3 linked regions of the Macaca fascicularis genome follow. Each later gene encodes a partner of the first gene's protein in a complex. Links are inferred from orthologs where the notes say so. Each region holds a gene or a part of one and is shown on either strand. Other genes may lie near its edges. The genes, in order: POLR2H, TAF1A and GTF2A1.

What was found.
Region 2: POLR2H (region 1) and TAF1A share a complex: the UniProt entries of both Homo sapiens proteins name them as parts of the pol I pre-initiation complex. The link is inferred for Macaca fascicularis from reciprocal best matches to the Homo sapiens genes POLR2H and TAF1A.
Region 3: POLR2H (region 1) and GTF2A1 share a complex: the UniProt entries of both Homo sapiens proteins name them as parts of the TBP-based Pol II pre-initiation complex. The link is inferred for Macaca fascicularis from reciprocal best matches to the Homo sapiens genes POLR2H and GTF2A1.

The regions. Positions count from the first base shown.
Region 1 is NC_088376.1:96,285,690-96,289,438, forward strand, and holds the start of POLR2H (DNA-directed RNA polymerases I, II, and III subunit RPABC3), read left to right. Parts: upstream 1-1,432; 5' UTR 1,433-1,567; coding exon 1,568-1,640; intron 1,641-3,039; coding exon 3,040-3,123; intron 3,124-3,206; coding exon 3,207-3,300; intron 3,301-3,749. UniProt on the Homo sapiens protein: DNA-dependent RNA polymerase catalyzes the transcription of DNA into RNA using the four ribonucleoside triphosphates as substrates.
Region 2 is NC_088375.1:80,553,544-80,557,192, reverse strand, and holds part of TAF1A (TATA box-binding protein-associated factor RNA polymerase I subunit A), read left to right. Parts: intron 1-1,667; coding exon 1,668-1,734; intron 1,735-2,471; coding exon 2,472-2,595; intron 2,596-3,649. UniProt on the Homo sapiens protein: Component of the transcription factor SL1/TIF-IB complex, which is involved in the assembly of the PIC (pre-initiation complex) during RNA polymerase I-dependent transcription.
Region 3 is NC_088381.1:149,188,781-149,192,529, forward strand, and holds the start of GTF2A1 (transcription initiation factor IIA subunit 1), read right to left. Parts: upstream 2,582-3,749; 5' UTR 2,148-2,581; coding exon 2,118-2,147; intron 1-2,117. UniProt on the Homo sapiens protein: TFIIA is a component of the transcription machinery of RNA polymerase II and plays an important role in transcriptional activation. TFIIA in a complex with TBP mediates transcriptional activity.

The sequences.
Region 1 (3,749 bases):
ACTCCGTAGGGGTTGGGGCTGGGAGCTGCGGAGCTGTCTACATCGGATTCCTCCGGGTCAGCTCGTTAGGAGCCGCCTCCCCTCTGTCCCTCCGAAGGGACGAGCGGCCCAGACAGGCCCAGGAAGGCCCCTCTGCCCCGTCAGGGGTGAAAAGCAAAGCTGGGAGAATTCGGAGGGAATTGGAGCCGTCTTCCTCATCCTTCCTTTTCTCGGGGCTCCCCTGGGGAGGTGCACTTGGAGCAACCCGGCCTACGGGGTGTGCAGGGGTGGAGGTTGGGGAGGGCACCGGAAGGGGTAGGCCGGAGGGAAGGGAGCTCCAGGTGCCGGGAAGTCCACTTCTGGGACGCGGGCGTGGGTCGCTTCTCCCTGGTTGGGCCCAAGGAGGAACCAGAGTCGCTGCTTCCATCTCTCCGCTTTGGGGGAACCGCCTGCTGGTGCTCTGGGTTCTCTATCAGGGGCTGGTGAAGGATAGAACAGATGGCAGAGCGCGCGCAGGGTGGATGGGCAGCATAGAGATAGTGTGAGAGGAGCGAGGGCAGCGCCCAGGAAACGCACAAGTGTGCGGGACAGCCAGCACCAGGAGGAAGGGGCATTTGGGAGGCAGAGGAGGGCCTCAGGGGGCGGGGGCAGTGCCCGGGAAGGGGGAGCCTTGTGATAGAAGCCAGCACCCAGGAGGAAGGGCCAGTGTGAGGGAAGAGCTGGTGTCCAAGGGACAGGGCAGTGCCAGGCTGAAGGGGCACGGAGGGGATCCGTGTCCAGGAGAAGGCAGTGGAGGACTAAGTTGGAGGGGTAATGCCCGGGGGAGGCGGGTGGCGGGAGCCAGGCTGAGGGGGCGGTGACGGGGAAGACAGCAGGGCCTGGGGGAAGCGGGCAGTGGTGGGAGGGTGCAGTACGAGGGGAGGGGACAATACAGGCTTTCCTCTTCTCCATAGCGACATCATGGCAAATTCCCAAACTGGACGGATCCGGCTCGGGTTACATCCAGCAGGGCCGAGCCGGCCCGGGCAGGCCCCGGGGTCCGCGGTGCCGGCTGGAGGGGCTGGGCACCTCTGGGGCGGGGTTCTGCTCCACCTGCCCTCGGCGCGGACTGTGCCCTAGGCGGGCACGCAGACCGGCGGGGTAGGGCTAGGGCCCGGCTTCTCTGGGCCAAGGATCAAGGTCCCTGCCTGGGTTAGGCCCCCACGACTTCCAATCTTCGGGACCCGGCCTCTGAAGAGGGCGCAGCAGAGCCCCAGCTGAGCGCTAGAACCCGCTCTACAGCCGCGGGAGGTTGGACCTATTGTTTCCCCGCCCTGGGCGGGGCCACCTGGACGTGAGACCCGCCCTCAACGCCGAAGCCTCTCGGGAGCAATCTTTTGGGGCGGAAGTTAAGTAGCCCCGAGCGGGAGTCTGTGGCGGAAGTGGGCGCGTTACCACTTGTTTGTGCGCATGCGCCACTCTTGTCTGGCTGCCGCGCATGTAAAAGCTGGTTTTGCTCTTCTCCCCTCTTCTGCACCAGAGCGGGTGCGCGTACTCCCAGCTGTGGTCGCCCGCTCACCCCTTCTGCTGCTCTCGTGGCCCCCTCGCGATGGCGGGCATCCTCTTTGAAGATATTTTCGATGTGAAGGATATTGACCCGGAGGGCAAGAAGTTTGACCGAGGTAAGTAAAGTAGGTAGGGGCGATTTGGAGGAAGAGGCTAACCTCGCGGACATGCCCCTGGACCCCGTGTCCACCCAGCTCTTGTGGCCTGCCCCTACCAGCAGGTCCTGATGTAGGGACCTCCCTCAGGAAACAATTTATGGATGAGAAAAGGGAGACTCCCGAGCTTTCTCTGGCTTCACGCATGCCGTGCCCGGTGCCTAGGTGGCCTTTTGTCATGGTGCTGGCAAACTCCTGGGCATCTTTATAATCGCTACCTGCTCTGTGCTAGACACTGTCTTGTGAGACCAGCCTGGCCAACATGGTGAAACCCCGTCTCTACCAAAAATACAAAAATTACAGGCGGGCGCCTGTAATCCCAGCTACTTGGGAGGCTGAGGCAGGAGAATTGCCTGAACCTGGGAGGCGGAGGTTGCAGTGAGCCAAGATTGCGCCGCTGCACTCCAGCCTGGCAACAGAGCGAGACTCCTCAAGAAAATGAGAGTCCTCATGAGGTGGGTGGTGCCTTCCCCATTATTTTCTGAGAGAGTAATCCACCCAAGGCTTCACAGCGAGTAATCTGACTTCAGAGCCTATATTCTTGTATTGCCCTCATAATCCTTAGCGCTTTAAGTCTTCTCTGAGTTAGAGTTAGCTGCTTGGTATATCCTTTTTTTTTTTTTTTTTGAGACAGAGCCTCGAGCCCAGGCTGGAGTGTAGTGGCACGATCTTGGCTCACCACAACCTCCGTCTCCCGGGTTCAAGCGATTCTCTGCCTCAGCCTCCCAAGTAGCTGGGATTACAGACATGCTCCACCACGCCTGGCTAATTTTGTATTTTTAGTAGAGACGGGGTTTCACCACTTTGGCCAGGCTGGTGTCGAACTCCTGACCTCAAGTGATCCACCTGCCTCGGCCTCCCAAAATGTTGGGATTACAGGCGTGAGCCACTCCACTGGCCTACACCTCTTAATTTTGTCATCTATCAATAATTTTCTTTTTGATGTCTCATTCTTTGCCTGGAGACTCAGATGTTTTCAAGACGGATACCAGTTCTTATACATCTTGATAACTCCCCTCAGCACAGTGCCTGTCATAGAAAGAGGAAACCTTTGGATGATTGAATAACTTGCCCAGAGTCAGGTTCTCAGTCATCCAGGCAGGCCTAGAACCGGGTATTATTTGCTGCTGAAGTATCTTTGGTTGTTTTCTGGGGATTACGTTCACTTGCCACAGTTTTTCTCCCCTTTTCCTTCTTGCATGTCTGGTTCTGATGGAGCCTGCATTTCTATGAGAGCAGATGAGAGACCAGTGGTTGTAGACTGGGTTAGATTGAGTATTCTGTTGCATACAATCCCACACTGTAGGATCTGCCTTGGGCCTGGCAATACCTCTGTCACTCTTTTCCTGCTTCTCCCCAGTGTCTCGACTGCATTGTGAGAGTGAATCTTTCAAGATGGATCTAATCTTAGATGTAAACATTCAAATTTACCCTGTAGACTTGGGTAAGTATTGAACACAGACAATAATAAGAGGCATTTTGCCGCTTCCGCTATTCTTCACTCTCTGATATTGCTGTTATTTTCAGGTGACAAGTTCCGGTTGGTCATAGCTAGTACCTTGTATGAAGATGGTACCCTGGATGATGGTGAATACAACCCCACTGATGATAGGCCTTCCAGGTGAGGTAGTGGAGAAGGTAATACTTGGAATATGCCTTGAGAACTAAGTAGATAAGTGATATAGAAAGACTCTTCTTTAATTCCTGGAATAAATGATGATCAGCAGAATCTGAGTAACCTTAAGGAAATTTCTGCACTTAAGAATTCAAACAGGCCAGACACCGTGGCTCACACCTGTAATCTAAGCACTTTGGGAGGCCGAGCAGGAGGATTGCTTGGGTACAGGAGTTCAAAACCAGCCTGAGCAACATAGCGAAACCTCACTGCTACAAAAATAAGAAAAAAAAAAAAAAAGGCTGCACATGTTGTCATATGCCTGTAGTTCCAGCTACCTGGGAGGCTGAGGTGGGAGGATTGCCTGAGCCCAGGAGGTTGAGGCTGCAGTGAGCCATGATTGTACCACTGCAATCCAGCCTGGGTGACAGAGTAAGACCCTGTCTCAAAAAAAA
Region 2 (3,649 bases), on another chromosome or scaffold:
CCTCCCTGGCTCAGGTGATTCTGCCACCTCAGCCTCTCGAGTAGCTGGGACTACAGGCACATGCCACCATGCCTGGCTAATTTTTTGTATATTTGGAGAGACGGGCTTTTGCTATGTTGCCCAGGCTGGACTAAACAATACCTTTGAAGTTGCTATTTTTATTTTACTCTGTTAAGATAGCTTTTGGCTCATTTATATTAAAAAATATTAAGGATTGTGTTTAAAACAAAAGCAAGACTGTGCTTTCATTCAGGTTATCAATCACTAATGGTGTTTTTGAAAAGATTTTAAAAAATGCTACAGAAAATAACTGTTGAATACTTATCTCATTTATATTCAAGACAAGATAGATTTAGAGAAATTCTGTTTTTCCTTTTGAAAAATACAGTATTTGGAATTAAGATCTCAATACATGGGTTTAATAGCAGATTGAACATAGCAAAATTGAGGATTAATGAACTGCACAGAAAATACCAGGCTAAACCATGGAGAACAAAAAGGATGAAAGGTGCAGAAACGAGCATACAAGTGAATTGGTGAAAAGATCTGACATATTTGTCATTGGAGTCCGAGGTGGAGTACCTCTGAATAGAACAGGGCAAAAGCAAGCAAACTAATTTTTTAAAAACCCTAACATTTGAAGGGCTCATGACTAAGAAATTTTCAAAACTAATGGAGGATTTCTAGCGTTCTGGTGATGTGCTATTATTTGATCTGGGTGCTGTTTACCTGAGTGTTTAACTTTGTGAAAACTGACTGGATGCCATGATTTGTATACACTTCTGCTACATGTTATATTTCAATTAAAAAAAAAAAGTGAATTGAGCCATAAACAGAATTCTATAAAATCATGAGACAAATGTGGCTTTCATAGGAACCGAATTTCAATAATATTCTCTGATATTGGTGTATTGATCTTGATTGATCTTTTTGAAAATGATTAACAGAAATTAACAAAATTTACTTTTAATTTTGTTGGAAATTATTTCAATGTAAGGTCAAAGTACTTTAGTAAGCAGAATGAATTCATTCTAGAATTAAATGTATTAAAATGAAAAATACAGTATTATTTTAAATTCCATTTTTTGAATATTCATAAAAATAGTTCTTCCTGTTTTTTAAAAGAGAAATTTTTTCATTGTGTGAAAGTTTGTTAAAATATTTACTCATATACCCTTAGTAAACTGTTCCTGAGCACAATCTGTGAAATTAACTCCCAGCCTTTTTAGTTTTTTTGCTTTATATAAATATTCTGTGATCTCTTCTGTTTAGTAAATAAGTATATTTTCTCTGTGGTAATTGATTTTTTTCTTTTTTTCCTTCAGTCCTGGCTTCTGAAATAAATTGCTTTAAGTTGTTGAGCATGGTAAACAATATAGATGTATATAAGGAGCAAATAAAAAGTCCCTGCCTATTTCCCTCGATTCTCCTGACTGTCTTGTTAGCAGGGACTTTAAAAAAAAAAAAAAAAAAAAAAAACCCAGCTTTACAGAGAATACTTTTCTATGCTTAGATTGAAACTAGATAAAAAGCAAGGTAGTTTAAAAATACTTAATAAATTTATGGAGAGCATATTAGATAGTAAAAACTTTATTTTGAAGGTAAGCTGAAATCTGAGAAATGCTTTTACAAGTATGTAAAAATTACAAGACTGTTCTTTCTTTCAGATTTTGTATCAGATTGTACCATCTCATAAATTGATGTTGGAATTCCATACATTACTTAGAAAATCAGGTAATAAATAAATTTTGTTTTTTACCTTTTGTAGACAAGCTATAGACTAGGGACCAGGAAACTATGGCCCATCAGCTAAATCCACCCCTTGCCTGATTTTATAAATCAAGTTCTGTTGATGTCCATCTGTTTATGTATTGCCTGCGGCTACTTTTGCACTATAGTGACAGAACTGTGTAGTTGTGACAGAGACTGTATGCCTTGCAAAGCTTAAAATATTTACTATCTGGGCCGTTATAGAAAAAGTTTGCCTACTCCTGTCATACAAGGTGAAGGCAGTAGTTTGCAAAAGAGAAATGGCTCAATTTTATATAATTCACTCCATTTTAATCCCTACTAGATTTCAGCACACCATAGAAGGAAATAAGTTGGCTAAGCCCAAACTTGTCCTAGGACTGCCTGGGTTCCTCTCTGAGTATAAAATAACATGTATAAAATTCCCAAACAGGGCAGGTACTTTAAGTAATGTTCTCAGTAGAGGAGTGTAACCCACATTGAGATCAGACTCACCACCATTACCTCATTAGCAGGAATTTTTACTGAGTTTTTCAGATTCATTGCAGGAGTAAAAGCATAATGAATTTTTAAAAACTGTTAACCAGAAGGCTTGTGATTCAGTATTTTATCAACAACATATATGTAAAGTATATATACAGTTGATAAAGTATATACATGTATCTTTTAGCTTTGTACATTTCAATACCTTATGTAAACTTGAATTGTTACAACCATTGCAGAAAAAGAAGAACACCATAAACTGGGGTTGGAGGTATTATTTGGAGTCTTAGATTTTGCCGGATGCACTAAGAATATAACTGCTTGGAAATACTTGGCAAAATATCTGAAAAAGACCTTAATGGGGTAAGAAACATACAGTATTTATTACTAGGTCATCATAAATAATATTTCCCAATATTTTAGCTAATATCTGTCAATTTTTAAAGATCTTTACTTATGTTTTTGGATTTTTTTGAACTGTGTCTTTAGCTGTTTTCTGAGTACATTTTCTTCTGAAGCAAAGAAATACAGAGTCATAAGGGGAACATACAAAAATTCTATCAATTTTTTTTATGCCATCAAAATAAATCCTGTGCTTAGCACTGCTGCTTGCTAAGGACTATGTATGTGTTTTCCAGTTGGAAATAAAGACTAGCAGGGATCACTCTTTGCTAATGACTCGTGATTTGTGCGTCATTAACTTGTAAGATCACATGGGAAGCACCTTTCCTCCTACCTGTGTTTGATCATTTTTTCAGTGAGTATTTTTAGGACCTCACAAGATCATCATACACTATTCATTCAACAAGTACTCATTAAATCCATTGTGACCTGGGTATCTAAAAGTGTACCTTTGATTATAATATTATTAGTGTCATATTTTGAGTAAAGGAAAATGAATTTCCTGTTATTTTTACTTAGTGTGTGAGAAGAAGGGATATCACAAAATTGTTTCATATATTTATTATATCCAGTTGAGTTGTTAGGCAATTCAGTATCAGTTGTAACTTGTTTCAGGCTTCAGATCTGACTTGTCTTGATGGGACAGTGCTGTTTATAAAATGGTTTTGGTGTCATATGTTGACACACTCACTGTAAACCATTTTCTAAATCTCAAGCACTGAATAAACTACTAGATTATAAGGTCCTTGAAAGCAAAGAGGCTCATTTTTTTGAACTGCTGTTTGTTCTACCATAGGGGGCACATGGGTGCCAATAAGCATTTGCTCAATTAAATTATAGAGATCTAATGTGCAACACAGACTGTAGTTAATATTGTATTGCGTATAGGAAATTTACTATGAGTAGAGTTCAGGTGTTCCCACCACACAAAAAAGTTTATGTATATAAAACATGTTGTATATCTTAAATATATGCAATGAATAAATTATTCACTGACACATAGAATTGCCTGCAC
Region 3 (3,749 bases), on another chromosome or scaffold:
CTCTATAGTTGAAGGAAGGGAAATGTGTACTCTTCACAAAATACATGCCTAATAAGTAATTTAGCAGAATTGTTCACAATTTGAAAAGCCCTCAAGGTAATTTTTGAAAAGTATGTGGGCACATAGTATTCGAAACAAGAAATTTCTAAATTATTACTTAAAATTCTACGCTATATTTCAGGCAAAGCTTCTATCACGAAATACAATTTAGGTTTATCCTGATTTTTAAAAAACAGGTTATTTCAAACTTAAGAACTGGTAAATAAGAGGGCCACTAGTGGCATTAAGTGATTTGTTAGAAGGTTTCCTTCAAAAATGTTAATTCCCTGATGCAATGCTGGAAGATAAACTGGAATAATTTTTACACCGGATATCCATGTTAATATCCAAGGCAATAAAGTTCTACTTAGAATTTTTTTTAATCCAGTTTGCAGCATGTCTCTTCCCTGTAATTACTCATGATTCTCATACACATAAATGGTCCTATACTGAAGCTTTAGGTACTTATCTATTTCTCTGAAAAGCCTCGTGTCTTTTATATTTACTATAGGAAAACATAATGTAATATTGGGAGCTATATTTCTAACATATTTCTTGAATACTTAAACAAAACACTACCAAAACCGAGTCCTCTGCAGCTAACACTTTCAGTGTAGAAAACAGTTTTTTAAATTCCCGAAAATAATGCACACAAGAAAAACGGCTAGACCATCTTATCTAAAACTCTTTGTTTTAAATTATAAATTTTGAAAACTGTAAACAAAATAAAAAGGGACAGCGATTCGGATATATTTCCCCTAGCAAACAAAGAAGGCAAATCCTGGCTGCTGCTAGGAACAAAACCAAAACTTGGGGCTCTGAAAGCAGCCCCCGACGGATGAGAAATTACAGCGTGAAAAAAGGACCTAGAAATAAATTGAGCTCTGCACGCGCCTGGCTCTCGCCTCGGGAGCACGCACCTCCCAGCCCCGCTCTCAGCAGCTCTCACTATTTAAAGCCGGATCTGGTGTTTAAATGGAGAGGCGGTGACGTAGTACTGAAAAGCACCTTCCCATCCTGGCAGAGTCTATATTAGAGAGCGGCAATGGCTCTATATAAACAGGGCAGCCAAAGGGAGGAGGACCACAAGGCTCAGGGACTGAAAAGCAGGGTAAGCGGCCGCAGCCATGATGGATCGACCCGAGTCGCCAACGGTACGGTGTCGGGCGGCCGCGGGCTGGTCTGCGGCATTTGGGACAGGGCAAAAACGTGTTTTATTGTCATCATAAAAATAAGAGTTGGGTGGACTAGTGATCACATTGCGTTGGTGACTGAAAAGGTTATTTATGTGACTGCTTTTTGCAAACCTACGTGATCTCAAGTAACCAAAAAGGGACCAACGGGAAGAAGTAGGTAAATTTCAAGGCGAAAGCGGGGACACTTGGACCACTGCAGGCTTTTTTTGTTTGTTTTGGTGCTTCTGCTAGTCGAAGATACGATGGGGGTCTTCCCCTTCGCCATTTTACCCATTCGGAAGGAACTGAGATAAGTGCTTTTCAACCAACCTTCCTCCTTTTTTTAAACATAAAATGGCCCCAGTGAAGGTTCCCAAAGCACAACAGCCAGAAAAAACCTAAGTAACCCCCAAAGTAATCATTATTCTTCCACTGCATTAAAGTGGATCACGGTGGGTCTCGGGGGTTCGCCCGATTCCCCAGACACGGTTTTTGTTCTGCAGCCGCTCGGGGAGCCCTCGTCAAGACAGCACGGACGGGCCCCTCGCGGGGAAGCGGCGGCTCCCCTCCCGCCCTCCCTCCCGGCGGCCGGGTTCTGGGGCCGGGGCTGCACGCCCGCCCGGGCCCAACCGCCTCCGCGGCCCGGCCCGGCCCGCGGCTGCCCCAGGCCCCGCCGGCGCCCCCGCCCTCCCCGCGCCGCGAGCCCTCGGCGCCCCCCCGCGCCCGCCGCCCGGCGCTCCGGCCCGATCCGCCCGAGGCGGGAAGCGGCGGCGGCGGCGGCGGCGGCCGCGCGGACGGCTGAAGAGTCGAGGCCGGGAGTCGCCGCCGTCCCCGCCCCCGCCCGGTCCGGCCGTTGCTGCCGCCTGAACGAAGCCCCCGCCGGCCACCGAACCACGTCCTTACCACGGTGTTTGTATTTGCCGAGTTCGCCATTTCCACACACAACACAAACAAGAGGGGGCAACCCCAAGAAAACAAGATAAAAACAAAACCAAAAAAAAAAAAAAAAACTAAAACACCCGGAGGGTGACCCAAATCACCACAAGATTGGGGAAAAAATTTTAAACAAAATCAATCCTGAAGGAGTAAGGGAGAGCGGAGAGAGGAGGAGGGGGGCACTCCTCCCGCAGCTAAAAACCTCGAGAATCGCCTTTAAAAAAAAAGCCACGACCCTTTAGGGGTCCGGGGGGCGTTGCCCGCTCCCCACCCCGCGCCAAGGAGGGAAACCACCACCGGTCGCCGCTCCCTGCGCCGCCGCTGCCGCCACCGGCTGCAGCTCCAGCCGTCCGGTCCGCCCGCTTCTCTCCTTTATATAGCGAGCCAACAAGCTGCGCGAGCCGCCACCGCCGCCGCCGCCGCCGAGAAACAGGGTGAAGGGGGAGGGAGGGGCGGAAAGGGCGGGGGCAGATGTGGGCGGGGCTGAGCGCGAGACACCGCGAGAGCCGCGTGCGCAGGCGCGCCGGGGCGGAGGCCGCCGCGAGCCGCGTTGTCACGCGCCGTGGTGGGTGCTGGGCTGGCGGAGCCCGGGGAGTGAACTAGTGTAGTCGGACCTACGCCTCTCCAACGCTCGCCTGATCACGTGGTTGGCACCCAGGCGGAAGTCTGCGGCAGTTCTTTGCGGTGAAGTACTTGCAAAGCATTGCTGGAAAAGACGCGAGTTCTAGTGACACTCCGAAGCTAGGTGGGACCGCCTCCTGTCGCACGTTTCCGCCCGGTCCCGCGCTGTAGGAGCTAGGAAATGTGACAGAGGCGGTGCCTACTGCCTCACTAGGAATGGCCGCGGAGGAGGATTGGTCACGTGGCGTAGCTTCCGGCCTCTGGCGCGTTCCTATTCGGGAAGGTTTTAAATGCGGAGTCATCTCTTGATTTGTCAGCGAGGCTTTGACTATAAGCTTCTCGGCTTTCGCGCCTCACCAAGGGTGGGTCTTTCGCGCGCAGAATTGTATAGGATTTCCCAAAGGGAGTAAACGCCGATCGGGGCCCACTTTTAACATTCCAGAATTAGTAACCTCTGATTCGTTTGTTTCCACACTGGGTACGCTGCGAAGACTAGGCTTAAGTTGCCCAGAGGTTAGTTCTCTACTAGCCCACGTACTTTAATTTATCACGCTAGTGGAGATGCGGTGGGGAAGAAAACCCCACCAGCCTTTGGATTATAACAGCACAGTAACTTTCCCTGGTTTTTAAAAATATTGCCAAAATACTGCGACTCCGCATGGCCAACGTATAGTGACTGATCACATTGAAATGCATGCCCTTGACCCAGCAACTCTCATGGCCTCTCGCTATAAGAGAGCAAGCAGGCTGTGTTCCATGTGCAATTCAATAAGCTTTTGACCTATTCTGCCCAAGCAAATCCTGCCTTTATATCGACATTGCAAGCGGAACAGAGAATGCTGTTTGGAAGGCAGAATTCATAGTACCTAATTTTCTTGTCCCTGGGAATTTTGAGGGACTTGAGATGTCGCTTGGATGAGTGAGGGAGTTTGTCTTCCAGAGACAAAGCAAAACGAAATGTCAAAGTTCTGTGCTGGT